7 linked regions of the Danio rerio genome follow. The protein of the gene in region 6 purifies or fractionates together with the protein of the main gene of each other region. This does not show direct contact. Links are inferred from orthologs where the notes say so. Each region holds a gene or a part of one and is shown on either strand. Other genes may lie near its edges.

What was found.
Region 1: the proteins of stx6 (region 6) and stx12l purify together in Homo sapiens (affinity purification with mass spectrometry; 4 studies listed by BioGRID and IntAct, counting the BioPlex papers as one, with this or other methods). This does not show direct contact. The link is inferred for Danio rerio from reciprocal best matches to the Homo sapiens genes STX6 and STX12.
Region 2: the proteins of stx6 (region 6) and snap23.1 purify together in Homo sapiens (affinity purification with mass spectrometry; 3 studies listed by BioGRID and IntAct, with this or other methods). This does not show direct contact. The link is inferred for Danio rerio from reciprocal best matches to the Homo sapiens genes STX6 and SNAP23.
Region 3: the proteins of stx6 (region 6) and vamp4 purify together in Homo sapiens (co-immunoprecipitation; 5 studies listed by BioGRID and IntAct, counting the BioPlex papers as one, with this or other methods). This does not show direct contact. The link is inferred for Danio rerio from reciprocal best matches to the Homo sapiens genes STX6 and VAMP4.
Region 4: the proteins of stx6 (region 6) and vamp3 purify together in Homo sapiens (affinity purification with mass spectrometry; 5 studies listed by BioGRID and IntAct, counting the BioPlex papers as one, with this or other methods). This does not show direct contact. The link is inferred for Danio rerio from reciprocal best matches to the Homo sapiens genes STX6 and VAMP3.
Region 5: the proteins of stx6 (region 6) and vamp8 purify together in Homo sapiens (affinity purification with mass spectrometry; 3 studies listed by BioGRID and IntAct, counting the BioPlex papers as one, with this or other methods). This does not show direct contact. The link is inferred for Danio rerio from reciprocal best matches to the Homo sapiens genes STX6 and VAMP8.
Region 7: the proteins of stx6 (region 6) and vti1b purify together in Homo sapiens (affinity purification with mass spectrometry; 3 studies listed by BioGRID and IntAct, counting the BioPlex papers as one, with this or other methods). This does not show direct contact. The link is inferred for Danio rerio from reciprocal best matches to the Homo sapiens genes STX6 and VTI1B.

What each region holds. Positions count from the first base shown.
Region 1 is NC_133191.1:7,966,839-7,970,932, reverse strand, and holds part of stx12l (syntaxin-12), read right to left. Parts: intron 1,615-4,094; coding exon 1,518-1,614; intron 1,320-1,517; coding exon 1,247-1,319; intron 1,143-1,246; coding exon 1,060-1,142; intron 1-1,059. UniProt on the Homo sapiens protein: SNARE promoting fusion of transport vesicles with target membranes. Together with SNARE STX6, promotes movement of vesicles from endosomes to the cell membrane, and may therefore function in the endocytic recycling pathway.
Region 2 is NC_133192.1:35,127,641-35,131,734, forward strand, and holds part of snap23.1 (synaptosome associated protein 23.1), read left to right. Parts: intron 1-1,133; coding exon 1,134-1,251; intron 1,252-1,366; coding exon 1,367-1,540; intron 1,541-4,094. UniProt on the Homo sapiens protein: Essential component of the high affinity receptor for the general membrane fusion machinery and an important regulator of transport vesicle docking and fusion.
Region 3 is NC_133195.1:16,222,080-16,226,882, reverse strand, and holds the start of vamp4 (vesicle-associated membrane protein 4), read right to left. Parts: upstream 3,237-4,803; 5' UTR 3,113-3,236; intron 1-3,112. UniProt on the Homo sapiens protein: Involved in the pathway that functions to remove an inhibitor (probably synaptotagmin-4) of calcium-triggered exocytosis during the maturation of secretory granules.
Region 4 is NC_133186.1:42,677,877-42,682,522, reverse strand, and holds the start of vamp3 (vesicle-associated membrane protein 3), read right to left. Parts: upstream 3,283-4,646; 5' UTR 3,159-3,282; coding exon 3,157-3,158; intron 1-3,156. UniProt on the Homo sapiens protein: SNARE involved in vesicular transport from the late endosomes to the trans-Golgi network.
Region 5 is NC_133180.1:28,878,092-28,882,881, reverse strand, and holds the start of vamp8 (vesicle-associated membrane protein 8), read right to left. Parts: upstream 3,309-4,790; 5' UTR 3,226-3,308; coding exon 3,199-3,225; intron 1-3,198. UniProt on the Homo sapiens protein: SNAREs, soluble N-ethylmaleimide-sensitive factor-attachment protein receptors, are essential proteins for fusion of cellular membranes.
Region 6 is NC_133197.1:16,195,895-16,200,450, forward strand, and holds the start of stx6 (syntaxin-6), read right to left. Parts: upstream 3,052-4,556; 5' UTR 2,905-3,051; coding exon 2,870-2,904; intron 401-2,869; coding exon 231-400; intron 153-230; coding exon 58-152; intron 1-57. UniProt on the Homo sapiens protein: SNARE promoting movement of transport vesicles to target membranes. Targets endosomes to the trans-Golgi network, and may therefore function in retrograde trafficking.
Region 7 is NC_133188.1:36,478,837-36,481,872, forward strand, and holds the end of vti1b (vesicle transport through interaction with t-SNAREs homolog 1B), read right to left. Parts: coding exon 3,029-3,036; intron 2,185-3,028; coding exon 2,123-2,184; intron 2,022-2,122; coding exon 1,928-2,021; 3' UTR 965-1,927; downstream 1-964. UniProt on the Homo sapiens protein: V-SNARE that mediates vesicle transport pathways through interactions with t-SNAREs on the target membrane. These interactions are proposed to mediate aspects of the specificity of vesicle trafficking and to promote fusion of the lipid bilayers.

The sequences.
Region 1 (4,094 bases), on a different chromosome or scaffold from region 6:
CACAATTTTCTTTGTGTTTCAGAGAAACTATTATTATTAATTCAACAGTACACGCTGGGCATTTATTTGTGGCTTATTTTGCCACATTGACTTCCACTATAACTACATTTTTTATTGCAAAGCCATGACATATAATCCATACAATCAAGCATTCTTGGTTGTTGCTGGTTTCCCCTGTTGGGAAAAGGTCAAATTAGTAAATTTGTACTGTTGATGGCATCATGGCATTTCCTAGGCCCAATACTTGTGTTAGATGGGCGCATCACGGCCAAGAACTAACCATTCAGGGGGACTATGTGCACCCAATGATTCAAACATTGTATCCTGAAGGCGATGCCGTTTGTCAAGATGGTAATGCAAAAATACACACAGCAGGATTGGTGATAGAGTGGTTTGATGAACATGAAAGGCAAGTCGAACATCTCCCATGGCCTGCACAGTCACCAGATTTAAATATTATTGAGTCACTTTGGGGTTTTTTGGAGGAGCGAGTTAGGAAATATTTTCTCCAATAGCATAAAGTAGTGACCAGGTCGCTATTCTGCGAAAAGAATGGCTCAAATCCCCTCCAACCACTGTGCAGGACTTGTATCAGTCATTGCCAAAACAAATTGATGCTGTATTGATTCTACGCAGACGAGCGGGCGCTGCCATTTGAATCTTTTTGGCACGAGACTTCCGGTCTCATTCACTTCCATTCATTTTTAGACATTAAAAATTGCTCGTTTCGCTGTTTGATGTTGCAAACTGATATTTCCTTGTTATATTATTCTACTTGGTCTGTATAGTCATGCAAACATTTGTTTGTAGAGCAAGTAGTTTGACCGTTTTTTGCCGTTTATTATTCCTAGTCATTTCTCCCATAGGTGACTGAAACGGAAGTTCTAAGACAATCGCGAAAACAGGCGCACTTCCGCATTTTAGAATAAGGCTGCAAAAGGAGGCCCTTCACAATACTAATGAATTATTGTGGTCTTAAACCAGGAGTTTTAATGTCATTGTCCAACCCCTGTATATATAAAGAAATGAATGTCATATAAATGTCCATGGTGAACATACCTGGTAATATGCAGCATGCTGGAGCTGTTCGGCCCCTCGTTCCACATGCACCTCTGCACTCTCTACATTGGCTTCAATGCTATCTGTGTATCATGACATGACAAAACCAGGGTTCAACAAAACAAAATAACTGTGTGGAAATTTAAATGCCTTTTAAAACAGTTTAGAAATAACTAGACTAACCTACCTATCATGTCACCCTGGTCGTGGATCATAACAGCAAGGTCCTTGAAGATTTGATTCACATCCATAATGTCTGACTAAATCAAGACCAGAAAGCAAATAGCACATAATACTTTAAAATCGGACAACTCCCATAAACACAATAGTCTTAATAATTATGTAAGAAATTAGTAAACTAAAAAAAGTGTTTGAATGCATATGAATCTTCAGGACATTACTTATTCTTATTGTTGTTGTTTAGTGATGTTGGATTTTTGTATGTAAGGTGTGCTCACCTCCAGCTGACGGATATTGGTCTCTCTTTCTTTAATAAGCTCAAGGTCCTCTTCTGTGACAGGCTCCTCTTCTGTCTGCATTCTCCAGCCTTCATTCCTTTTCAAATAAAAATAGCTATGAATATTTCAGCTTTCAGATCTTTTACTATTGTATTAATGCATTTAAAAAATAGATACACATTAAAGGTTCCGTGAAGTGCTTTGAATTGTGCATTTTTCTGAAACATGAAGACTGGGCGGGACATATAGTAGCTCCTTATTAAAAAAAAAAAATAGCCAATAGCGTTTAGTTCTATCACAGCTCTGCCAGTGAGAGTGGTTGAGATCAAGCGCATCAAATCAAAAGCAAATGAGAAGCATCTTGAAGGGAGGCAGGGCATGTAGAGAGCATTTGATTGGTTAAAAGATTTGATGAGGAACTGAAGTATGAGGTAAGGTTAAAAAAAGTTGTTCCAAGTGACAAACTGCAAGCTTTGGATGTTTGTATCTACTACATGCAAACTGTATCACTGTTTTTGAGCACACTAGCTTATAGATAGCATTACCACTAACATACTTATACTAACACCTTTTTTTTTCATTGAATGGGACCTTTAAATCAACTTATTATACATACTGTATCCTGTGTTTTGGATGTCTATTTTGATCAAAATAAAGGCTCATGAGGGTGTTGGATGCCTGGGTTCAGTTTAGGGTCAAATAATGTATGAAGGCTAATTAGAGTTAACATTAAGGGCCCTATCATACACCCGGCGCAGTGTGGCGCAAGACGCGGCGCAGTAGTCTGTTGGTAGTTTTCAGCTTGGCGCAAGAGTCGTTTTGAGGCGTTGCGCTGCGCTGTTTAAATAGCAAATGCATTAGCGCTCATTTTTGCGTCCATATGCGTTCTGGTCTAAAAAGGAAGGCGTTCTGAGGCGGACCGCTGGCGCGTTGCTATTTGAGAAACTATAATAGATTTTTCATTAGACCAAAACTAACCTGTTCTAAACTCCGGTGCAGAGTTGCGCCTCGCTTACGCACTGCTTAATACGCACAAGAGAGCAATAGGCAAATATCTTTACATATGAAAAAATTTAAATATTAAGGATATATATAGTATATAATAAGAATAGATTTAAAATATAAATATAAAGGATTAAAATATTACAAAACATATTATTTTCTAGCCTACATAAATATTCTTTATCTCGGGAGGCTTTTTCAGTTCATTCATAACAATTTGCTTTTGTATAATGTTATTATTATTAGCAGTATTATTTATTATATCCATATTTATATTTGTTTTATTAAAAACAAGCTTAGATTTGCCCACCTGTCAGGTTTTAGACCATATGGGGCACAGCATGTGTTTGAGGATATAACTCAGGTTTTTGAGCACATTTTGCTATTATTATTCATTTATTCGTTTGCTGGAAATTAGAACTGAATTTAGAAATAGTTTTGAAACGAATATTTGCGCTTAACAAACAAAATTATTTATTTATAGACTAATTGATGTCTGTGCGTAAAGGTTTCCCTATCCAAGAGCGACAGTGAAAGTGATCTATTATCTCTCATTCTCATGCAGTAGATGCTCTGTTTAACAGTTTTCGGTTAAAAAACTGTTAACTGTTTACTAGTGAAGTGCTCATTTTTTCCACTTATACTTACTTTGCGTCCTGTAAATAGCAAATGCGCTCTTGGCGCGATGCAGCGGACTCTTAAAGGGAATTGGAGATGAGACTCTAATTGGTTTATTCTCAAAACACACCTATAACTCATTAAGAAAATAAACTCAACCCTTTTAGAACATGCGCAAGGCAGATTTCCCGTCCTTAAATTAGCAAAAACGCGTCCTGACACGCCCTGAAAGCGTTTGCGCCCTGCGTTTTGCGCTCTGCGCATGGACCGTCGAAATAGAGCCCTAAAGGTGGAATATGTAAGTTTGACATCCAGTGGTTCAATTAGGGATTGCACTCCTGGTTCAAAACACATTTTCACTCTGCCCCTGCTCTGATGACCACACGCAAGCGCAGTTTGTGATTTGATGACATCAATAGGAGCGAGTCTGACTACCCTAAAGGCTGATTTAAATCTTGTTTTAAATAAAAGCAACGGCACGTGATAGAAAGAATATTTGCCATATTAAAATGAGTTTTTGTCCTAACAAACCCCTGACAGTTCTATTTTAGAAACAACTTCTACTGTATTTCTCACAGGTGAACAACAGAAAACTGTTAATAATCACCTAAGGTACAAATCATGTGCTTTATTCAGTGTTAAATGCTAACAATGTGAGTTTGAATGCCATTTTACATGCCATTTATTGCTATTCTACTGAAAGCAGCAGCAGATAGTTTACCTCAGATCTTGAAAATAAAATAAACCGTTTGAGATTGAACTTTAGAACTGTGATTCAGTTCAAGTCAACCCATATCAGTGATTCAGCATGTACATTTAATAATGTTACAGAAGTTAAATATTTAGTAATTAGATTGTATACCTAACCAAAATATTGGAGTGCAGTAAGTGCACTATTCTGTGCTTCTGAATGGCTGTATTTTAATTTCCGTTTGTGTTGCGTGTGGTGCAAACAGC
Region 2 (4,094 bases), on a different chromosome or scaffold from region 6:
TACGTTCCTCAAAAATGGTATTTGGAATAGTTACGCGTTACTGTGGAACGCCTTACACCCAACTCTGTCCAAACCACAATCTTGCCTACATACAGCTCTGTATAAAGAAATTAAAAGACCAACTGAAAATTCTCTGGATTTAATAGATATGTCTACCAGGGCTGAAAAGGTTCTTTGTCGATGCATGCAATAGGAATGGGACATGGGATAACCTTGGATAAAAATATCACAGTTTCACGGTATAACAGTATTATGATTACTGTTCTAAAACATATTCTTTTTAAATGTCGGGATAGAAAAACATGTTTTTTCCCTTTTGAACACAACATAATTTATTTTGAGAAACCTTTATAATATTTTGGAGCAGTAAACATGTCGGGCTGAATAACTCAAACGAGTCACTGACTTTTCTGTCTTATTTTGTTTCAAAAACACATTTTTCTTTACCATTTAAATTGTCATTTTTGGATATCTTTTCTGCTGGAGATACTGTTGTCCTAAAAAACAAAACGAATCTTACACATACCTTAGGAATGGTATAGCTGAAAATTTTGGCGGTTTTAAAACCTTGACTTTTCCAAACCGCGGTAAACCCTGAATACGGTTATCGTCCCATGCCTAGTATGCAACATAATACGCTGTAAATGAATGTCCAGATTAGATAAACATATTTTTTATAACTTTTGCATAAATTTATAAAAAGATGCCATGTTTCTATTTATTTTAAACATGCCATATTAGTGCTTTAGCTTCAGAAGAGCCATGAAAGCAAAATTCCGTGGAATAACCATCAAATTCAGTCTCAACAATTTAGAACAAATGTTCATTTTGTTGAAAAATTTTTCTGAATGACAATGTTTTTATTTGAAATTCATAGGAAATGGCAAATGAAGCTTATAAAAACAAAAAATAGTTAACATTTTACTCAAACCCATGCCTAATAAATGCAGAGAAGCATCATTTTCAAGGCATCTCTTAAGTTTTCGTCTCAGTTGTTGTAATCTGTTACATCTACATTTAGGACAAGCTGTATAGTATTATTTTTTATATAATAAATATATAATATTTTTATATAATAATAAGTATTTATTTTTTATTTAGTTTATATTTATATTTTTTTTGCGTTTCATTAGAGCAACTGAGGCGAGTTGATCAAGGAATGGATCAGATCAATCAGGACATGAGGCAGGCTGAGAAGAACCTCACAGATCTATCCAAATGCTGTGGTCTGTGTGTGTGCCCGTGTGAAAGGTTCGATACTCAGGAAACAAGATATTCATTATATTCAGTTATAATTGAATCCTCAAAACTATTTTAATTAGATGTCTAGGCTGGGGTAAAGAAGAGTATTAAAAATCTTTTACAGAGTGACCTCCATTGAGCATGATGGGAGATATAAGCGGACTTGGGGCACCGGGAGCGACAACTCCAGCACAGAGGGAAAAGAGGGTGGTGTTGTATCCAGCCAACCGACTGCTGTTCGTAATGGACAGGCTGTTTCGGGTGGATCATCGGGTGCCTCTGGCCCCTACATCAAGAGGTGAGGAAAAAATACACTGAGAAGGATGGACATTGATAAATGTGATATCATATTTGTTGTTATAGCAGTATAATGCGATGAATCCTGTTACAATTAATTCAGAATGACCCTATAATTAATAGTTATGAAAGTATAAACATTAATTTGCAGATATGTTTGTGTCATTGTGTTTGTTTGCTTGTTTGCTTGATTGTTTTATTTATCTGTATGATATAATATAGACGTAAAAAATTAATTGTAGTTAGTTAGAACGGATTCAGTGCTCAACTAATTCCACAATATAAATCTCAATGTTAACAAAACATGCATTTCCTTTAAAAATTCAATTGGATTGAGTCAGTCATGCAGGATTCCAGATAGGACATGCAAGATCTTTACTATCAGGAGGAAATTTAACATTGTGATTGATGTCTAAATCCACTTTTTTTTGGCTGTAATCCTTCTGTTTATACATTGGAAATACATTTTTAACCACACAAATTCAAGTTTAGTTCGAATTAGTTTAGGAAAAGACTCAGAGAAACCAACCGTCTTGTATTAATTCTGGAGAAAAAAAATTTATAATGCTAATATATTGATATAATGCAGTTGAGTAATGTCACAAAGGCAAGAGTTCTGCAGTATCAGCATGTGAGAGAAGCCATTAAAAGCCAGTATACAGCAGCCATGTGTTGGGCTTATGTCCTTCTCCTGGCTTCAGTCCTGCTACTGTTAATACTTTTTATGGAGCTGTGCCATAATTTGAATAAGTTTCCATCTTGTTGCAAGTCAGCGCATCAGTGTAGATTTACTGTTGAAATGTTGTTAAACATTATTTTACTGCATTTGACAAGAAATTAACTTCTACTTTTTTAAACTTTGTATTAACAAATTCACATTTAATCCAGCGTGTAAAGTCACTGAACATATATATATATATATATATATATATTTATATATACACACACACACACACACACACACACACACACACACACACACAAAGTCAGAATTATAGAATTATCAGACCCCCCCCCTTTTAAATGTTTCCCAAATAATGTTTAACAGAGCAAAATTTTTACAGTATGTCTAATAATATCTAATCTTATTTGTTTTATTTCAGCTTGAATAAAAGGAGTTTTTAATTATTTAAAAACCATTTAAAGATCAAAACTATTAGCCCTTTTAAACTATATATTTTTTCGATAGTCTACAGAACAAGCCATCATTATACAATAACTAATTACCCTAACTAATTAGCCTAATTACCCTAACCTGTCTAGTTAACTTAATTAACCTAGTTAAGCCTTTAACTGTCACTTTAACCTTAAATTGTTAAATTATAAAATAGCATTAAGAATGTAATCCGGAATCTACTCCAGTTTTGCAGATTAAGGATTTCATGCCAAAGATGATCAGTAGAAGGACAAAATTACAGTAAAAAAAAAAAAAAAAAAAACCAGAATAAGTATAAATCTTGCATCACTTTATTTCCTAGTGTATAATGTTACCTAAAAATAAACACTTGTTGTACTTGTTGGTCAGGTGGTGACTTCCTGTCTAAGCAGGCAGTTCAAGACCTATAATAAACTACAATATGTCTCTGTTTGGTGGCATTTAACTACTATTAGGACTCATTGTTTTTACCCTGCCACATCAAAATCTGCAGCTGGACTCCACATGTACAGTTTGTTAGTGCTTATTTTTGGACTGTTACAGCGGATTTTTAATTCCTCATTAATTATTAAGATGAGTCACCTTAAAGGGTTAGTTCACCCAAAAATATAAATTCTGTTATTTATTACACATCCTCATCTAATAGAAAATCAGCAGTTCAAGTGGGAATGGGAAGATCATTCCACCAACATGAAACGTTGATTAAAAATGTTTTGGAAAGTGACTTGGGTCTTTTTTGTGATGGTGCTCATTTTCTAAAAACCATTATCAAACATTCCATGTTCAACTTCAGTAGTTCAACTGTAATCATAGTATAAATTTGCAGTTGGTGTGAATCATAAGCTCTCGCGGGTCAGATAAATTGATATGGCAGAGTAGGCTGGAATTTGATATTTCATTAATTTGCATATAAAGCACAAATAAACACAACAATAGTTGACCACTGTGCTGTAGAACGAGGCAAGAAGGATATCAAATAGATAAAAATATACTTATAAATACAAAACCCTGCAGACAAAAAAAATTATAAAAGTAGAGTTAAAAGTAAGCCCGCACAGAATCTGTGTGCACAGTAATCCGCAGATTTTAAGCCCATCATCTTTTTCATCTAAGCCCACCAGTCTTTTTATTTACTTGTAATTCTGTGTAAACTTATATTAATTCAGTTTTTTTTTATTAATTTCTGTTATATGATTGACTAATATGAAAATGTTCATATGATTTATTTACTATGCAGTTTGTAAAGTCATATTTTCTGTCTTTTAGTAGATATATATTATAATAGACACTTGCTTTGTTTACCAAATAAGTGGATCTAATTGGATTCACATTGTAAAGTTTCATATATTAAGTTTTTAGTTACGATATTCCCAAAATTTTTCCTTACAAATCCTCAGAT
Region 3 (4,803 bases), on a different chromosome or scaffold from region 6:
AAAATTATTCTTTTCTTGCTTTGCTTTGTCTCATTTCTAATCCGCATATCTAAATTATTATATCAAGCAAAAAATTCATTCAGAAGAAACCAGTCAAAATTAGGAGTTTTTCTTTAAGACAAAACTAAAACTAGCAAAAATATCTGCCAATGGGGCAAGTAAAATAATTTTAAGTTCACTTTAAAATGTAGATATTTAACTAAGGCATGGTGAGGCAGTGGCGCAGTAGGTAGTGCTGTTGCCTCACAGCAAGAAGGTTGCTGGGTCGCTGGTTCAAACCTCGGCTCAGTTGGCATTTCTGTGTGGAGTTTGCATGTTCTCCCTGCCTTCGCGTGGGTTTCCTCCGGGTGCACCCGGTTTCCCCCACAGTCCAAAGACATGTGGTACAGGTGAATTGGTTAGGCTAAATTGTCCGTAGTGTATGAGTGTATGTGGATGTTTCCCAGAGATGGGTTGCGGCTGGAAAGGTATCCGCTGCGTAAAAACTTGCTGGATAAGTTGGCAGTTCATTCCGCTGTGGCGACCCCGGATTAATAAAGGGACTAAGCCGACAAGAAAATGAATGAATGAATGACTAAGGCATGGGCCAATATAAGATTTTGACAGTATGATAACCTTGGATAAAAATATCATGGTTTCATGGTATCACGGTATTGTGATTACTGGTCTAAAATGTATATTTTTTAATGTCTAGGTATAAAAAAGGAAAGTTTTTCCTCTTTAAACACAATATATTTTATTTTGAGAAACATTTAAAATATCTTAAAACAGTAAACATGTCAGACTAAATAAATTACTGACTTCTGCTGTCTTCATTTGTTTTAAAAACAGATTTTTTTTTTTTTTTTTTTACAATTTAAAACAGCATCTTTGGATATTTGTTCTGCTGGAGATACTGCTCTCCTAAAAAAAATAAAAAAATAAATAAATAAATAAAAACATAAATGAAAAATTTTACTCATACCTTAAGAACAATATTGCAAAAAATTGTGATGGTTTTAAAACTTTGACTTTTCTAAACCACGGTATACCTTGAAAACAGATATCGTCCAATGCCTAACTTACTACTAGAACTAGAAACAAGACAAAAAGTCCAAGTCAAATGTTACATAAATCGTATTAATATTTAAATACAACTAATCTGTTACACCTCCAAACATCCTGTTTTTGTGCTGAAATATTTCAAACTCTCCTGAATTACACAGTTACAGGCCTTAAAACACATGTAATCAATAAACTTTGTTATGGTTTAACTCATGAGAGACAACAAATCACATGTGTTCTGTGGCTCGTGGTCAAGTATGATTCAACATTGTGACTATTGCGGAAGCGCACATTGCAATATCAATGCAGAAACTATATTTTGTGCAGCCTTAATAGCATCAGTTTAGTTTAAAAGAATCACTGCTCAACACATACAGTAACACAACACCAGAAACCATTAAAGCACTGCAATAAAGATACAATCATAGACTGTTTGGTTACTTAAATCAAATTGACTTTTTTTTTTTCATTGAGACCGTAAATTGGAATGACAAAAATAGGTCTAAATGACTTTCATTTTGTGATTTAAATCTTTTAAAATCTGTTTATTAATTATAATACTATAATAATTTAATAAAAAACTATGTGCAATAGTCAAGTGGATGGATGGATGGATGGATTAACGGATTAATTGATGAATGGATGAACTGACTGACGGATGGATGGATGGATGGATGGATGGATGGATGGATGGATGGATGGATGGATGGACGGACGGATGAATGGATGGATGGACTGATTGACTGATGAATAGATGGGACTCTGGACTACAAAACCAGTTATACGTGTCATTTTTAAAACTGAAATGTATACATCATCTGTAAGTTATGTAAATAGGCTTTTCCATTGATATATAGTTTGCTAGAATAGAGCAATATTTGCAAAGGTATGTGTGAATATCTGGAATCTGAAGAGTTAAAATAATAATGGAAAACTTTAAAACTGCTCAAATTAAGTTCTTCGATGCACATTATTACTTTTGATATAGGACATATACAAAATATTGTCATGGAACATGAGTTTATGAAATAAATATTTTTAACTCTGAACCAGACAAAAAAAAAATTTACTTTAACAACATAATACTGGTTTTCTCATCCAGGGTCGCAAATGCATCAATGGAATGGACAATCGTGTGGACTGGAAATGTTAACAAGGGAAACTGAAAGCAGAAATCTGTCCCTGCTGTTGTCAATACAAACCACCAGATCCACAATGAGCATGCTGACAGCAAACTGTTTACAGACATAACAAGTGACCCCACTGATTAAAACCTCCACATGCTTCATGTTGTCACGGAACAGCTCATAAACAAAACCAACAGGTTAGGCATCATTCCAGCATTTTCTTCATCGCTGCCACTAAATGATTTATATGAAAAGCACAGGTCAGCGAACAGCTAAAAGAAACACTGAGATCCCTCAAACATGATGGGGCTTACATAATTCAGGAAATTAGATAGCCTTGATTTTCTGTTTAAATAATAACTCAGTCTAAACTAATGACAATCACAAAATCACTGAGTAGAATAAAGAGAAGAACTAAACTGAAACGGATAGATTCAACATTCAGTGAACAATACGAGACTGGAACAAAACGGTTCATTCATTTGTCAAAACAGTACAGTGTAGATCTGGATTCAATGCCTATTTGGCTTTCAGAATGCTCACAATTTGCATTAAGAAACAGACAACTCCTAAACATACTCATTTTAGAGCAATAACAAATCAGTACATTACCGCTAATATCTAAATAAATTTAAAACAGGGCTAACTTAATCTTCCTGGCATGCATCTGCTACACAGAGCTTTATGCTAGTCAACCATGTAAACACTATGCTAATCGGAGATCGAAGCAAACGATAAGACGTGGTTTTATGGAAAAACGAAAAAGCGTGAAATTGAATAATCGTGTTTGCATGTCGATTAACGTTAGTGGAGGAATGGAAACACTGAATTGAAAACAGATGGCATGACAGCTAGCATGACGGCTAACACCTCTGTCATCACTGACCGCTACACAAACACATCCATGCAGGCCTCGAGAGCTGTTACTCCGGCTGGTGTACCTCAGAGATCCTGCTTTTGTCGATTAGTGTCTGGAGAAACCGCGTCGGTGTGTTTGTAATCCTGCTGATCTGTGTGTGATGGGATGCTGGGACGAGTCCTGAATGCTGTCTCTCGTTCGGCTCTGGAGCGGAAGCTAGAACAGCTGGACTAATTGTGTTTCCTGCAGACGCATCATCATCATTACCGTCATCACCACTAACATCATCATCTTTTGATAAAATACTACAACATCATCTTTCGAGGTAGTGTGATGTAACCTATACCTGGAAGAGAGTGATAAGTCATTGTTCATGTTTGCCAACAAACCAAAGTCTGTTAAATATTGTTTGCAGTTTTTTTTGACATTAGCAATGATTAACATTAGCAATGATTTTCTGTATTAAGGATTGTAACATATTGATACCTGTTGTTTTTGTGACAAACAAAATCAGTGACCTGTTTAAACAACGGTGCTACAACTAAATACAATTTTATAATATAAGCTCTTGAATGGTAAAAGTACAGTATATGTTAGAATTTCTGATTAAAATAATTCATTCATTCATTCATTTTCTTTTCGGCTCAGTTCGTTTATTAATCTGGAGTCGCCACAGCGGAATGAACTGCCAACCTCTCCAGCATTTGTTTTACACAGCGGATGCCCTTCCAGCGAGAGGGTGCTCACTGCAGAGCCATTTGAGGAGAGCTGAGCTCCAGCGAGGGGGAGCATGAGCTGTCGCTCCTCCTCCTGTAAGCTGTTTTAATGCGTACACCAACCCCACCCCTAACCCTACCCCCAGTGACATCACTCGTAGAAGAAGTGCAAAAAAGGTGGAGCTCAAGCTTAAGCTCCCCCTCGCTGGAGCTCAGCTCTCCTCAAATGCCTCTGCAGCGAACACCACTTGCTTCCAGCTGCAGTCCATCTCTGGGAAACATCCATACACACTCATTCACACACACACTCATACACTACGGACGATTTAGCCTACCCAATTAAACTGAACTGCATGTCTTTGAATTTGTGGGGGAAACCGGAGCACCCGGAGGAAACCCACACGAAAGCAGGAAGAACATGCAAACTCCACACAGAAATGCCAACTGACCCAGCCGAGGCTCGAACCAGGGACCTTCTTGCTGTGAGGCGACAGCACTACCTACTGCACCACTGCGTCGCCTGAAAAGATTTATAACTAGTTTAATTGTTATAATATGTTTTTTTTTCTATTCTATTCATTATTACAATATAGAGAATTATTATTATGTCTTTAGTATCGTCACTGATTGTTTTAGTAATATGGTTATATGATTTCTTGCAGAAGATATAACACTGACAACAAAAGTAAAGGCTGCTAACTGCTAAGTAAGTAAGCTGCTAAGTAAAACGCTTGGCAACATGTTTTGACGTGATTGATCATCATGAAACCAGTTCGAATCCAGCATCTGATGAACTTGTTCTTCTACAACTTTATGCTTAAAATGCTTTAAAAATAAGTTAAATCTTTGTAAACTAGAAAATTATGTACTATATCATTTATTTATAACATGCGGGCAATACATTACAGATTCATTTTATTTAAAAAATATTACAATAATCTTATTTTAAATTAAACTATAGTGGCCTGGTAGGGGTCCTACAAGACATTGTGCCCAGGGGCCTCTGAATTCTTAATTCGGGCCAGGTCAGGAGGGACAGTCCACGGTAGTACCAGAG
Region 4 (4,646 bases), on a different chromosome or scaffold from region 6:
GTGATGACCAGAAAACAGAAAAGCAAAACTTTGAAACCAAATAGTAAATAGTTTATAAAATGTTCTTCTAGGGTGAACTATCTCTTAAATTTTAATATGTGAATAAAGTTATTGTTTATAGTATATTTTAAAAAATGCACTGAGCAATTGATAAACACAGAGGTGGACAAACTACGGCCCGCGGGCCATATGCAGCTCGCTGAACACTTTCATGCGCCCGCCAGGGAGTTTTTAAAATGCTGCTTCTGAGTAACGGTTTAATTTCAGAATTAGTAAATTAATGATGCAATACAAGTGAATACCATTTGATGGCAGTATTGCATGCAGTACAGTTAGTGCAACTAGAATTAGAACACACTCTCGGATATTACAATGCACTCGACCTTTTATGACTGAAAAGGAGTCAGGGAAAAATTTTTACTTTGAATGTCGTGTGTTTATGAAAGAATGGACAACAAAATACTTCTTCACCAATACGGGACAGAAAGCTGTAGGTCTAATATGCCAAAAAAAATATTGCTGTTTTTAAGGGCTACAACCTAAGAGGCCGATCACACTGAACGCGCATTTACATTCCAAAAACACAAGGATGCTCTGCACTGCCTTTTTGTTGACAAGAAAAAAGGAGCACACTGCGCTTTTTTTATGTTGCTAGTCAAAGACTGGATCAGCTGGGTATTTTGCGAGAGTGTTGCAGTTAATATTAATGTAACGTTATTTTCAGGCTCATTGTTCACGTTAACACTCATAATGACATGACTTGGAATAACAAAGACTAAGGCCCCGTTTACACTAGTGCGTTTTAGTTTTAAAACGGCGTTGTAGAATGAAAACGATCCGCATCCACACTAGCGTTTTACCCAGCGTTTCTGAACTGCTCTCCGTCCACACCAAAACGCTGAAAACGCACATCACGTGACCACACAGACACACTTGGGCAAGCGCTCCAGCATTTCTACCCAGATGAGAGCTCTGCTTGTCGGACTGCTCATCAAGCATCTCCCGCTGGATCTAATCTCACTATATTTGCTAAACGTGATATTTCATTCATGTTGTTGTCTTTATCTAACGACATAGGCCAATTCCCTGACTTTGGTCATTGGAATCTATTAACTTACTTGTTCACGGGTAACATGTTTTGGTTAAGCGCAAAGATAAGTTAATGATTAATCCAGGTACATTGACTGATCGCTTGCCTTTATTTCCTACAATGTATAAACTTATTGTATGTTATACTTTTATAATTATCGATTATTAAAACTGATATTCAGCAAAAGAGAGGGTGCGTTTCGTATTTTCACTGAAATTGAAAGGAGGCAGTTGTTATAAGGCTCCGTTTTGTTATAAATATCCACACAGTGAAGATGACGCTCATATATGCAACACAACGCCTCAACATTTCTGCTGTCTGTTAAGTTGCTAATATTAAAAAGAAAATAGGCAGTTCCTTAAATCATGTTTATATTTTATTGTTGAGAAAGTGAAACAACGTAGCCAAGGTGATGTGAATGAAGTTATAAAGTACACTGTTCCCTTTGAAGATTTACGCGTGTCCTCGGTATGTTTTCCATATCAAACTGAGAAAGGGGAGACTGCAGCCTTGATCAAACTTGCGAAGTCTGAACTTACAAGAAGAGGATGCGAGACTGAACTGTGTGTGGGCTACTTAATATTGAGGAAAAGCCCCAATCAGATAGGCAAACGTTTCCAGCCCCGCCTCCGTTTTCAGATGTCTCCGTCTTTCCCCATCCACACTGAGACGGAGCAGCAGCATTTTAGAATGAAAACGGCCTCTCCAGCATTTTCAAAAAGCTCTGTTTTCGGCGCTCGAGAACTCCGGCGTAGTGTGGACGGATGGCGTAACCGTAGCAAAACTTATGCGTTTTCAAACTAAAACGCACTAGTGTAAACGGGGCCTAAGATTCTTCTTCCGTTTTATCTCATAGTTTTATAATGATTGATATGAGCATATTAATACAAGCTCAAATGAGATTGTTGTGAATTTGACTCAAAATATATAATGGTTGCTGGTTAAATGTGTTAATTTTTTTACACAGAGTATATTTTCCATCCATACATCCACTTTAAAAAGTTCTTTTGTCAAAGATTTGTGGTTTTATCAAGTTTTAAGATGATTGATCTGTATTTTCTAAAAGAAGTGCAAATTAGATTATTGTAAATTTGACTAAATAGCAAACTTTAAGAATTATTTTTAATGTGTTAATATGGGATTTTGTCTATCAGACAATATCTTTTCTATTCTTCGCTGCAAAATTATTACATCATTATCAGTATTACATTCTATTAGAGATTATTTTATTGTTTTATGATAATTGATAAATATAAATAGCAGAGCAAATTCATTTTACTTGTCAATTTGACTCGATAATAATTATTTTAAAAATCTGTTTTGTGTTAATCTGACATGTTTCTGTCCGATATTACATGTTCTAAGCATACTGCCACTATAAATAAAAGATATGTTTTGAAGGATTTGGCATGTGGCCCTTTACTTGGTTTGCAAAACGTGAAGTGGCCCTCTGGTCTAAAAAGTTTGCCCACCACTGGATTAACAAAACTGATTGAAGAACAATCATTTGTGAAGCTTGTAAGTTATAACTTGTTTGTTGATTAATTTGCCGCAGCTTTGCCAAATACAAACTACATCCTTTTAACTCACTCAAAATTAAAATAATTGTACACTTAAAACAAAACAAATATGTTATTATAATGGTGATATGTCTGTGGTTTGTGTATGCTTAATGTCTAAAGTTTCCACAAACTTTTATCAGTCAAAACAAACTGTAAGCAGTTAGCATGTAAGTTAGCGCTAATGCGAACATAAACACAAATCTCTTTTAAACACTCAAACGGACATTAAACTTCACTTACGGTGTCATAATCAACTATCCCAAATAAAAGCAACCGAAAACAAGACCGAAAGTAAATTAAAGTAAACAAATTGTCAACAAACTGAAGCTAAAGCTAAGCTAAAAGCTAACCTGTTGCTTTGGCCGTATTCACACCCATTAGAACACAACACAAACTTTCCCAGCACATCAATATTTAGGTATTAAAAAAAAAACAAAAGCAAAACATATATCATCACATGTTCATATCACATCGCTGAGCTAGTGCAATTTTAATTTTACTTACATGGTTGTTGAGTTGATGTGTGATTTGTGAAGGCCCGCTGATGATGATACAACTGTTATTACTGTGTAAGCGAGTGAGCGTCAGCGCGCGCGTGCACGTAGAATATAGCTCACGCACACACACAGTGAAAGTTTTCCCCATCATATAAGTAATTTCATAGGTTATAATAAAAATATACAGTCATTGTAAAACTCTCTCAATTCAGTTCAATTCAAAAACTGCTTTATTGGCATGACATGTTACAAATATATTCATTCATTTTCTTTTCGGCTTTGTACTTCATTAATCAGGGGTCGCCACAGTGGAATGAACCGCCTACAAATGTATTGTCAAAGCACTAAAGTTTACATTAAAAGAACATACATAATAAATAGTTTAAAAACACACTAAACACAGTAAACAGTAGTAGTAGTAGTAAAATAATAATAATAATAATAATAATAATAATAATAATAATAATAATAAAGATGATAATAAAAAATAATGATCTAATAATCTAATGATGATAATAAGATCTCTATTTCTCTCTCTTTTTCTCTCTATTCTTATATTAAGACTAGCAAAAATGGCAATATACATTAGTATAGGAGGAACAAGATTTTGTGTGAGACCATTTATAAAGTTGAACTTATTTTTAAAAGGCTTATTAGAGCAAGAATTAGACATGATTTTAATTTTTATTTGTCAATGAAAGAGTTGAACAAGTTTGAAGACATGTGGAGTGTAAAAAATGTTGTGTTGGGCTGAAAATAATGTATGGTTTTTGATGAAAATATTGTGTGATTTAGAAATTTGTTTAAATCAATGAAACATGTTGTAGTTTAATTTTTTATTAAATGAAGGTGTATTCAATTTCAAAATTTTCTCTCTCAAACAAACACACACGCACACACAAACACAGATAATTAAACTACATTTAACAGCTATGGAAAAAATTAAGACACCATTGGTCTAAATTTTAATATTTTTATTTGAAAATTTAAACATGCTAATCACAAACCTTTTGTAGAATAAACCAAATATTAAACCTTTAATCAAACACATACCATCGAATATTTATATATACCTAATCATTTTATACAAATATAAATTAAATTATTGTTTTGCTGATAAGTAAGGTGTAGTGTCATCTACACTATTTGGTATAAATATATATATTTTTAATTATAAGAAATTAGCCTATATAAAGTATGTACACACACACACGCACGCACGCACCACGCACGCACGCACGCACGCACGCACGCACGCACGCACGCACGCACACACACACACACACACACACATATATATATATATGTGAATATATATATGTACATATATATATATATATATATATATATATATATATATATATATATATATATATATATCAGAATTCATTATATATGTAAGTCAGAATTATTAGCCCCTCTGAATTATTAGACCCCGTTTATTTTTCCCCCAATTTCTGTTGAGAAGATTTTTTCAACAAATTTCTAATCATAATA
Region 5 (4,790 bases), on a different chromosome or scaffold from region 6:
CCACAGTATGCAGAAACTTTATAGATTAATTGTCTCAAGGAAAGTGTCAGTACTTCCATATCATACACCTCATACCATTCACCTACAGATGGAGGATGTTCCTTGAGACATTTTTTTTGTAATGGCCTTTTTGCTAGATTTTAGAAGTGTATTAAGAAGATATCCCTCATTTTTTAGTATTTTTGAAGAGTAAACTCCCAGGTAGATAGTTTTAAAATTACAATCAATATTCAATCCTATTATAGCATTTATCTCTTTATTTAATTTTGCCAATAGGTGTGTATAATATTACAATACCAAAATATGTGGACATAATCAGCCAATATATTTTCACATTTTCTACAGCATTCACCTTTTTTATCTCTAGTTTGAAAGGGTTCTTTATAACACCTAAAATAAAATGTTTCATGTTTACATTTTTCCAAATAAATTCTCTCCATGAATCTGAATTACCTGTGATCATCTGTGTTTCAAAATAGTTAACCATTCCTTATTTGTTACAAGCATGTTCTTTTTAAAGTAAAGTTTATGAATGCTTTGGCAATACATTTCTTACAATTGTCATGCAAATAACACAATTATTGAATTTAATTGATTTGAATTGACAGAGAGAGAGAGAGAGAGAGAGAGAAAAAGAAAACTGCGTTATGCCAGAAGGCCAAATTATTTAGAAAAGAAAAAAGTACAGAAAACAGATTGTTAGTGCTAGAAGTAGATCAACCTCTATAGACAGTATTAGAACAAATAAAAGTGTATTTGAAGAAGAAAGTCAGAGCTAGGAAGTTTTATTTAAAAAGGATAAGATAGACATTTTTCCCAGAGATGGGTTGTGGCTGGAAGGGCATCCACTGTGTAAAAATGTGCTGGATAAGTTGGCGGTTCATTCCGCTGTGGCGACCCCAGATTAATAAAGGGACTAAGCTGACAAGAAAATTAATAAATGAAAGAAGATAGACATTAGATTAGAAAGTGTACGAAGGTCAACGGTATTACATAGAGTGCATTTTTAAGTACAAACATTAATGTTCAACATTGTCCATTATTGGTCAAGAGATATCGGAGCTTAGTACTACATTGGTTTACTAGAGAATTATATCAACTACTTTACAAATGTATTTATTTTTAATATACTGTATAATCTTAAATGTGCAGCACACAATTTGAATTTGGTTTAATAATTAATTTGATAATAATTTATTTGATCATTTGGTTTTTAGATGTTGAGCATGGAAAGATCCAATATATCCAACATGATGTGTACAGTATGTGTGCAACACTGCGATATATTTACACATGTAAAAGGCATGCAATAACATCAACATTCTTCTTCAAAAGTATTTACTGCTTTACTTAAAGTATTGTAAATTTGAAGTATTTTAGAGAAATGAAAAGTATTTTATGACATTGCATTAATAGGATTGGATGAATGCCAATTTTAACATTCTGAAATATAATTCAAATACAACAAACTGAATTTGTGTGACTCAATTGCATTTGACAGAATATTTAATCCAAATAAAAACAACTCCAAGACATCATACAGTATAATTCGCCTGTAGTGTAGATGTGGCACCTTATGTGTGATACTCGCAAAACCAAACAAGAAAGCCTAACCACATTCACACATTAAAGCACCAATAAAATACTGCTACACTTAAACATAGAACAAGTCTCATGGAAGCAATCTTTAGCCGTTAATTGTGCAATTTGTGTCTTAAGAGTAAACTCTCTGTGCTTTTTACACGTTCAGCCATTTTAAACACATTTAAGCTCTCCTGTTCGGCAGATACCTCATAAACAAAAGGAGTTACCAGGAAACCAAAAGCATTGTTGCGTCACTACCTGTCCTGCCCTTCTATTATACTCAATGGCTCTCTCTTTGTGTGTGTGTGTGTGTTGGTGTCACAAGACCTACAGGATGGCAGAAAGCTATTAGGTAACATCTGATACTGGCAGTTCGAGGTACCAATATTGTGGCAAAATAGTGTGATGTGTGCGATCCACTTTATAATGTGACAGAAACAACATGATAATTAAAAAGAATATAATTTGGTATTATGTGAACCGCAAGTATGTTTTGTTGAAACTGTTTTTTTTAATTAAAACTTAAATGTATCAAAGATATATAATGGGATAAACAATCATCTTCAATGAAAAGTTCACCCAAAAAAGAACATTTACTCACTATTTAGTCACCCTCAATTAGTTCCAAACCTTTGAGTGTCTTCTGTTGAAAGAAAGCCAAAAACATGTAACCACTGAATTCAATAGAAGGAAAAACAAATACTATGCAAGTCAATGGTTACAGGTTTCCAGCTTTTTTCAAAATACATATCTGTGTGTTTTATGTAAGAAAGAAAAATCAAACAGGTTTGCAACAAGGGTAAGTAATTTTCCATTTCTTAAACTTGAGTTTCTTTAATATTTGTATTAAACAACGACATGCTTGCTTCCTTCAAGGACCAGCATTCAAATGACAAATTGAATATATTATTTATTTAAAACACTACAGACAAACTTTATCTTAACCACAATGCCACATACATCGAAGTAACGTTAGTCTCTACACTGTGAGTGGAACTTGTGAAATGATTTTAAAACCAAGTGTTGACAGTTGACCAACCTGATCTGAAGCAAACGAGCAGGAGGACCTAACACTTCTGGTTCAGTTTAACAGTCAAAGAGATGTGTTATGTTATCAGCACATTTGCAAGCTGAAGTTATTGTGAATATATTTCTAAACTGAGGGCCCATTCAGTAAGAGTGGAGCTCAACAGTATCATGCAAACCGGTTATGCTTCGAAGCTCAAGGTAAATTCAATCCATCTGAGTAAACAAATCAGTACAAGAAAATTCCAATATAAACGGTACTAATCTCAAGTATAAATGTGTTATTTAAACATTACATTTGTATAAGATAACCAAGCAAATTATCTACATTTGCTGACAACAGGAACGTAGAAACTTAAGTAAAACTTGAAAAACAAGCTTCGCCCTGTTTGGAGTGCGTCAAACTAACACCAACCGGTGAAAAACAAGACACGCACACACACTGACTTGTTCTAATGTTTGCACCACTAAAAGTAACATTCGCACAGATATCAAGAGAAATTAAGTTCGCACAGTTTTGTTAACTATAAACTTAAAAACGATGCAACAAAAAGCACCTGCTGACTGTTGTTAAAATTAGTGACTTACCGTACTGTTTGGATCAGTTACACCCATAGTTTCACCAGCTTCTTTTTATTTACTCCACAATATAAAAAATACACGTTATCCTTTAGAATTAAAATGTTTGCAACTGTTTTCTAGTGTAACCGATAGATGTACGCCGTGTCAACACTTCCTGGTCTCTAATTCACTCTTCCTCCAGCAGCGAATGACTTGGCTTTGGCCCACCTCTGATGCGACACTTCCCATAGCATCCTCAAGATGGCGCCGGGTTCATCTCACAAACACACCTGTAAGGTGAGTGCAAATACTATAATCATGCCATCTAGACGTCTTCCCGGCAGGTATGAGAAGCGTCTTGTAAAACCGGATTAGAGTGAGTTTTCTAAAAGTACTGATGTGTGATTAAACTCAGTGGTATTTATAGAAGTTTATAATTTCAAGCATGATGAAAACTGCTTAAAAACAAAGTTAAAATAGTTCAATTCCTATGCATGAAACACAATACGTCTTCAACAACTCCACCTAAACGCCTTTGGCATTGCATGCATTTAAAGCATTATTCTATTTAAAAAAAAATCATACTAGACACAAAACCAAGCATAAATGTGACAACACGTTTTATTTTTGAAAATGGTATGTACAATACACATCTAAAAGAAACCTCAAAGTTAAGAAATTATGTTTTACAATTTAAATAATGCAATAAAAAAACAGTGACACTGAAAACAGCACATTAATATTTTTACTTTTTACTGAAGCTGCTAAAGTTATCAAAACGCTTGATTTTAAAAGCAAACATTATTCAAACTGCACCATGTTGAGTTTTTTCCTCTTGGTGAATGCTTCTGACATCTTTCACTTTCACTTGTGTGTGTGTATATATATATATATATCAATAAAAAAGTCTGTGGTTTGGTATTTCCCTGTACAACATTATCATAATCCTGACACCACCGTCATCATCCTCCTCCTCCTCCTCCTCCTCTTGGCTATACTGTTTTGTCCCGACATTTGTATTTTTACATGCCATGGAGAACAAAAGAAAGCGGATTTACATTTTGATACAAATGACAATTTGTGCATAAAAGATTTGTGTCAGATTTTCAGTGGCCTTGTTTAATGATGATATCAGTCATGCCATCAATTTTGTGCAGCTCCAAGTTCTGTTGATGGAAAGAACCACTTTTAGATTCACAGCAATTAAATACACAAACAATAGGTTTCTACATGCAGGTTACAAAAACAAGTTTAAACAAGACAGCATGCTAACAGTAAATCAACACTGAATATTTATTAGATCTTCGTCTATAGTAAGCGTTGAACTATTTTAAAGTACTCACTTTCTCATTAGCCAAGTGCAGAAGGGCCACGAAAGCCAAGGGTACTGACAGATTAGTAGCCATGGCAGAGGGAAGCCTACAAAAAAAAAAAATGTACAGTGAATGGATAAACAAAATTGAAATATTTAGATCACTTTTTCCCCTTAATGAACAGGAACAGTGAGAATAAGGGATGGAAATATTACACATTGCAATTTGTTTTATTCTGCAATATATATGATATAAATACAATTTCATAAGATGAGTTGAATTAATATTTGTAAAGAATCTATCATT
Region 6 (4,556 bases):
CTGTGGATGCTAAAACATTAGTTGTAAATGTGCTTTCAGTCGGTCAGATCAGCTCACCCTGACTGTCTGCCGTGTGCTAGTGATGAAGGCTTTCCTCTTGGCCAGTTCCATTGCGTCGAGATTGAACTTCTTCGGATTGGCCTCCACAATACTTAAACACAAGGTTAAGGCTACAACCAACATATAAACAGCATCAAGACCAAACAATGACGACTAAGCTAAAAGGATATTGATAGTCTCATCCAAGTCCTCCAAGTCCCATTCAATGGACCTCAAACTGTTTCGTAATTCGTTGGTGGTCCAGTCCACTTCCTCCTTGCTGGCTCCACCCGCGTCCTGTAGCAGCTCTATCCATCTCTGATGAAGACCTTGAGCTGTGTTTACAGCCTTCTGCACCTCTCTAAGACAAATACATTCAATTAAGCCTCAAGGTTAATTGACCTACTACAATGTAGACAAGAATACTACAGAGTGTGCAGATAATTATGAAAATTATAAACATATGATCATAATTGTTTTTTTCCAAAGAGAATTTGACCAGTTCTCAAATACATCGTTCTTAGCCAAATACTAAAATATTTTACTTGTAATTTATTATTAATAAGTGTTATTAGTATTATTATTTAGAATAATTATTATTAAATTGAAAATTAATAGACTGTCTGATGTGTATAATCATTAAGCAGGAAAATAGCCCATAAAAAAGATGCAACTCTCACTAAAAAGTCAAAAATAATGGATGCGATCCTATAAAAAATGTGATAAATTAAAGGTGCTGTGAAGTGCTTTAAAATTAGCATTTTGAATTTGATTTCTTCGTTGTAATCTGAAATAAAATTCATGAAGACAGGGTGGGACATAGAGTAGCCCCTCTCCTTTATAAAAAACATCCAAGAGTGTTTCGTTTTTAATCACAGCTCTGCCAGTGAGAGTGGTTGATCTCAAAAAAGATGCATCAATGGATAAAGCAAATGAAAAGCATCTTGAGGGGGGTGGGTATGTCAGACACTAGAGAGTATTTGATTGGTCAGAATATTTGATGAGAAACTACAATAGATAACCCCCAATAATATAAATCCCCACTTTATAAAAACCAATAGCTGAAGTGTTATACAATACTGATTTCTTTTAAGGACAGCTTATGTATCTGTCTTCCTCCTGCCCTAGTTAGTATTTGTCGTTCAATAGTAATACCTTAATTTTACAGGTTTATTAATGCTGTGATCTTCTTTTGGTCGTTTAATATATATACAAAACGAAGGGCCCAAAAAGGAGGTGTAACATTGGGAAAATATATATATATATATATATATATATATATATATATATATATATATATATATATATATATATATATATATATATATACATACATACATACATACATACATATATATATATATATATATATATATATATATATATATATATATATATATATATATATATATATATATATTTTTTTTTTTTTTTTTCCTCCCCAATGTTACACCTCCTTTTGGTCCCTTCGTTTTGACATGTCAAAATAAACCTGCTTCATAAATATGCACATCTAAATATAATTATCTTACACCCCCAGTGCTTGTTAAAAAATTACACGTAACTTATTAATGATTATACACAATATCAATACTAGGGCTGCACAATATATCGTTTCAGCATCAATATCGCAATGTAGTCATTCGCAATAGTCACATCGCAGGTTGTGCAATGTTGAGTCTGTAGTATAATCTATCATTTTCATGTTTTTTTGGACAGTAGGATTTTAAAACCAGAGGCATAAAAAATTTTACCATTTGTAAGTTAACGTTAGACGTAAAAATGATAAAACACTGTTTATTTATCTTTTTTTATTGTTTGATCTATGCTTGTGGATAGTTTATTATAATTATTGCAGATGCACTTTTCTGCAGAATCATCTGAATCAGATAATTATATCGCAGAATAACTAAATATCGCAATGTTAGATTTTTCCAATATCATACAATCAACACTTAAGAAGTGTGAAATCGGTACAATTAAACAATAATTATGCACGCACTTTATTACAGCGCCTAGACTGCAGTTCTGCACAAGACGTTTGGCCACAGGAGAAACGGTCGTGCTCAACTGAGCCTGGTTTCGCTCAAGTTTTTTTAATTCTTCACTTTCGCCAATTGGTGAAGTTTTTTTCCCTTGCCACTGGCTTGCATGGTTTGGGAGCAGTGGAGCTGCGCATCGATGGATTTGCTTTTCAGTGTTTAAACTCTCAGCAGTAAAAATTAAACCACACTGAACTGAATGGACTGAACTAAACTGAACTTCAACACAAAAATAAGCTGACACTGTTTCAATTTACTATAATCTTCTATGTGAAGCTGCTTTGACACAATCTAGATTGTAAAAGCGCTATAGAAATAAAAGATGAACTGAATTGAAAGGTTTTACTATGATAATGCAATGCTTTTGGATGTCTGACATGGAAAAAACTATGCTATTACGTTACTATCCAAAAGCATACCATAATATGTATCCCCAAAAAGTGACAAACATGGTAACGTTACATATTTGTAAATCCTAACTTATAGCAAAACGCAGATGTCTGGCAACCCAAAACAATACCACTTTAAAGGGAAGACGACACAAATATCGATTAACGCTATGAAGCGTTTGAGAAAAAAATCGATAATTATGGTTGCCATGACAACACGATAACGATCTTACCGAAACAGCTGCTTTAAATGGTGCCGAGTATCAACGTAGGACAAGTCAAATAGCTAATGTACGTAAAGTTTAAAATAATTAACGTTACTCCAATCTGATTCCTGAAAGTGTCTAATTCGACATCTTATATTCGCCCCTAGTCTCCGATCTAAGCCCTGAAACTCACCCTTTCACCACGAAAAACGGATCTTCCATCGACATTTTGCTGCTCAGATGAGTCGATGAGTGGGGTGCGATAATCTCATGCTCCTGACCGCGGCTGGTTTAGCTTTACTTGGACAAAGGAGAGCGCTTTACGTGTTGTTTACATGCGGGACAGAGCCCGGATCCGCTCAGCCGCCATTGCCCGGCGGAATCACATCCGGGTCCTCGAGCGTCTAGACACACGCACGCGCCTGGGCAGATAAACAGCAGCACGGGTTGTTTTGGTTTGTTGAAGTAAAAGAACAAAGCGTTGCCACTAATATGCAAAATGCCTAAATATAAAATATACTTACGAGATATTAGTTTAATTTAGATAATGCTTTAAATATATGTTGGTAGTCAGCATTCTGTCTATTCATCATCCAGGCAATATTATGTAAAGTAGCTTACCATTATTATTATAATAAATCTACTATATGTAAATGTTTACGTAATTGAAAGCTAATTTATAGTTTATGCGTTAAACATATGCTGGTATAGTTGGTGGTTCATTCCACTGTGGTGACCTCTAATAAATAAGGGGACTAAGTCGAAGGAAAATGAATAAAGGAATTTATAACATACTAAAATATTGAACCTACGTCCTCAAAATTAAATTTAACTGAATCATTATACACCGACTTCAAAATGATTACCTTTTGATTTGCCACCAAAATTAACATAAAATAAGAATATTATTATTCACAGAAAATTCACAGTAAATAAAAAATAAAATCCATGTTTTCAGATCTTAGATATTTTGAACTATTGTAAAAGCACACATACATATAGTCCTCCTAACATTTATATATGTGTGTGTAGCCTTTTACGTATGTGTACAATAATTGTATAGTAACATAAAAATGTAACAGGCGACATGGTGGCTCAGTGGTTAGCTCTGTTGCCTCACAGCAAGAAGGTCACTGGTTCGAGTCCCTGCTGGGCCAGTTGACATTTCTGTGTGCAGTTTACATGTTCTCCATGCCGTGTGGGTTTCCTCCGGGTACTCCGGTTTCCCCCACAAGTCCAAAGGCATGCGCTAGGTGAATTTCATAAACTAAATTGTTTGTAGTGTATGTGTGTGAATGTAAGATTGTATGGATGTTTCCCAGTACTGGGTTGCAGCTGGAAATGCATCCGCTGTGTAAAACATATGCTGGAAAAGTTGGTGATTCAGTCGCTGTGGCGACCACAGATTAATAAAGGGACTAAGCCAAAAAGAAAATGAATGAATGTGTGTGAATGAGTGTGTATGGAGGGTTCCCAGTACTGGGTTGCAGCTCTAATGCCAACAGCTGTTCCAAAACATATGCTGGATAAGTTGGTGGTTCATTCCTCTGTGGTGACCACTGATTAATAAAGTGACTAAGCTGAAGAAAAATGAATGAAAATGTATGAATGAATGAGCTACAATCTGATACCATTGTGTGTATTATGGTGCCACCGGTATTTTTTATTTATTATTTATTTAAACATATACTTTATTTAAGTATATTAAACACTTATGTAATAAGTGTGTATTAATATTAATACAATTATACATTTTATTACAGATAATCTAAAATAATAGGGGTCAAAACTATGGGTTTCCCACTGCTTTCTCTTCATCCTTGTATCTGCAGCTCGTCTGTGTACTGAAACACAGTTCTTCATCCATTATTCATCACAGC
Region 7 (3,036 bases), on a different chromosome or scaffold from region 6:
TGGTGGTGTAATGGTGCAGAGGATATATTCTTGGCACACTTTAGGCCGATTAGTACAATGCCTCAGCCTACCTGAATATTGCTGCTGACCATGTCCATCCCTTTATGAGCACAGTGTATCCATCTTCTGATGATTACTTGATGGATCTCAATCCAATAAAGCACCTTTGGGATGTGGTGGAACATCAAGGATGTGCAGCTGATAAATCTGAGCAACTGCATGATGCTATCATGTCAATATGGACCAAAATCTCTGAGGAATATTTCCAGTACCTTATTAAAGCTATACCACAAAGCATTAAGGAAGATCTGAAGGCAAAAGGGGGTCCAACCCGGTACTAGTAAGGTGTATCTACTAAAGTGGCCGGTGAGGGTATACTGTAGCTGAATACACAACACCTTAACGTTTTCCTGCATTTTTTTGTTGAACATAATAACGTGCACCTTTTGAAAACTCCTTTGGAACAAAAGTTATTGTGAAAATCACTACGCAAATACATTGAATTGAATTGTAATGAATGATTGTAATGCTACACCCTTAGAAGAATTTATTTAAAGGGTGTACGACCTGACACTGCACACCTAAGTTTACTGTTTTATTGTTCATATCTCTCAGCATTAGTATTAATGACAATGCCATTCATTTCAGTATAAAGTTTAATAAATAAACGGTCTAATGTCATTTAAATTGTCATTATTTTGTTTATGTTTTTGATTGATTTGAAAGAGTCATCCGTTAAATCATCCGTTTTGCCCAATTTGTAATCCAAACAATGTATCATATCACCTACCTATGACTGTGGAATGTGATTATGGATTAAAATTAAAAAACAGGTCGATCACCTGCTCACACCTCAAATCAAATCCCAAACATACCACTGTGAAATAACTCTACTCAAATGTCTGCTGTTTTGCTCTTAAGAGAACTAGAAATAAACATCATCAGTCAGCAGGCAAAACGTCAGTATGTCAAAGTGGCTTGACGGCCCTCGATGCTAGTCTTTAATATATAACAGGTGTTTGTGTCACTTTAATATCAGTCATGTTTACAGTAACATCTGTCCCCCTTATCTGACAGGCCAAACACACCCCTTTTCTCCACCAATCAGGGCTCACAAATAAAATGACTAGCTTGTTTATAGCTGTCAATCTCTTGGCCTGAGGTAAACTCAGCTCTGTTTGGCTGATTGGTGGAAAAACAAAAGGAAAACAAACACCCATTTCAAGAACAAAAACAAAGAGATGATACCTTTAATGCCACCTCAAAAACAAAACTAATTTAACACACAATTTACTTAAAAGTTCAGTTTTAAAGGGATGATTCACTCCAAAATATTTTACATACACGCAACTCCAAAGATTTAAGACTTTCTTCAATCTATTTTGGTCAATATATTACAATAGAAAATAGTCAGAAGAATGTTTTTAGCAGTGCAATGAAGTTCAGTGCCATCCAAAAGTTTCACAGTATAGAAAACATGTCTTGGATTGACACAAAAAGTCAATAAATTACTACAGAATTACATCATTTTGGAGTGAACTATCCTCTAAAGTGATTGAGCACTGTAAAAGAGATGTATATAATATACTGTATATGTTCTTTTTCCACTCATTCCACTGGATGCTTCATTTACACCATTCAACCATCCACCAGATCACCTTGGCATCTTTTTTAAACCGCTGAGGGTGAAGTAACACAATTTCTCCTGTTAACACAAGTCCTCCAGAAGTCAATGTACAATGGTGAATGTCTTCATCTCACCCTGAGAGCGGTGCTTATGCTTATAAAGTTTAGCACTAAAAATAACCTCTCATACAAGTCCATGTGACACTAACAGTCACGAAAGCATCCAGCACATTGTTGCCAGGTCAGAAACTCATGAAAATCAGGAAGAAGAAAAGGGAGAGAGTCTTGTGTATCTCACTGCCTACTTGCGAAAGAACTTCAAGTACACCACACCCCCTAAGATGGCCACCTCCATGATGATGATGATGGAGAGGAGCAGTTTGTTCGTCACGATCCTGAAATGACAGGAAAGAATTCATACAGTGAATTCTCAGAAAAAGGATTTGGAAACAACTCTAGTGATGCAAAATGTGTTTCATAAGAGTGCAAGGCTTACCGTCTGGACATTGCGCGCAGGATCTTCCTGCTCCGGCTCAGGTTCTCTCCAGTGTTAACCAACTGATAGTGGAGCAAGAGAAGAGACAGAGAGAAAGAGAGAGGAAGTGAACCCATAGAAAACATTTGTCTGTTTTTTTTTTTTGGCTATTTTTAAGCTACGTTTACATTAGCACTTTAAAACGCACAAATTTTTATTACAATTATCAATATTATACTACTTTGGAAAGGCTAGAGATCCCATCACAACTAAAAAGGTCAAGCTCTTTTCAGCTATACTAGAACCTGCCAGGCAGGTGTGTTAAAGTAAGTTGGAGCTAAACTACGCAGGATACCGGCCCTCCAGGTCTGAGTTTTGGCACCCCTAGTGTAAATGAACCAAAACAGACATTGAAGAGAAAAAAAAGAGCCTGGCTGCCCATATTTGCTTTCTGATTGGTCGTCTGTGTTATTGCATATCCTTTCCTGACTCGTCAAGCCTTTTTCATATGCTCAATTTAAACGGCCATTGGTACATTCACTGCTAGTCACACCATGCTGACAAATAATGATGTTTTATCTGGTTTCCAAACAAAAATTCACAGTGTAACCTTAGATTGCTACAATATGTTTATAACAGATCCATTTCTGTTATGAATAGGGTTAACTATCATAGGATTTGACTTACTTACTTTTGACTAACTTAATTGCAACTTCTTTCTGTCAACATTAGTATTTTTTTAATAACAAATAACAATTTTTATTTGATCTAATATTTGTATATAGGCTACACTTTAGTAATTCTATAGCTTTTATAGCTTCTGACATGTATATACTTTACGAAATGCAGGGGAATTGTCAATATGGAACATTTAAATTGAGAACATTGTGTTAAAACTAAAATGCACTAGTGTGAACACAGCCTTACTCTATCTC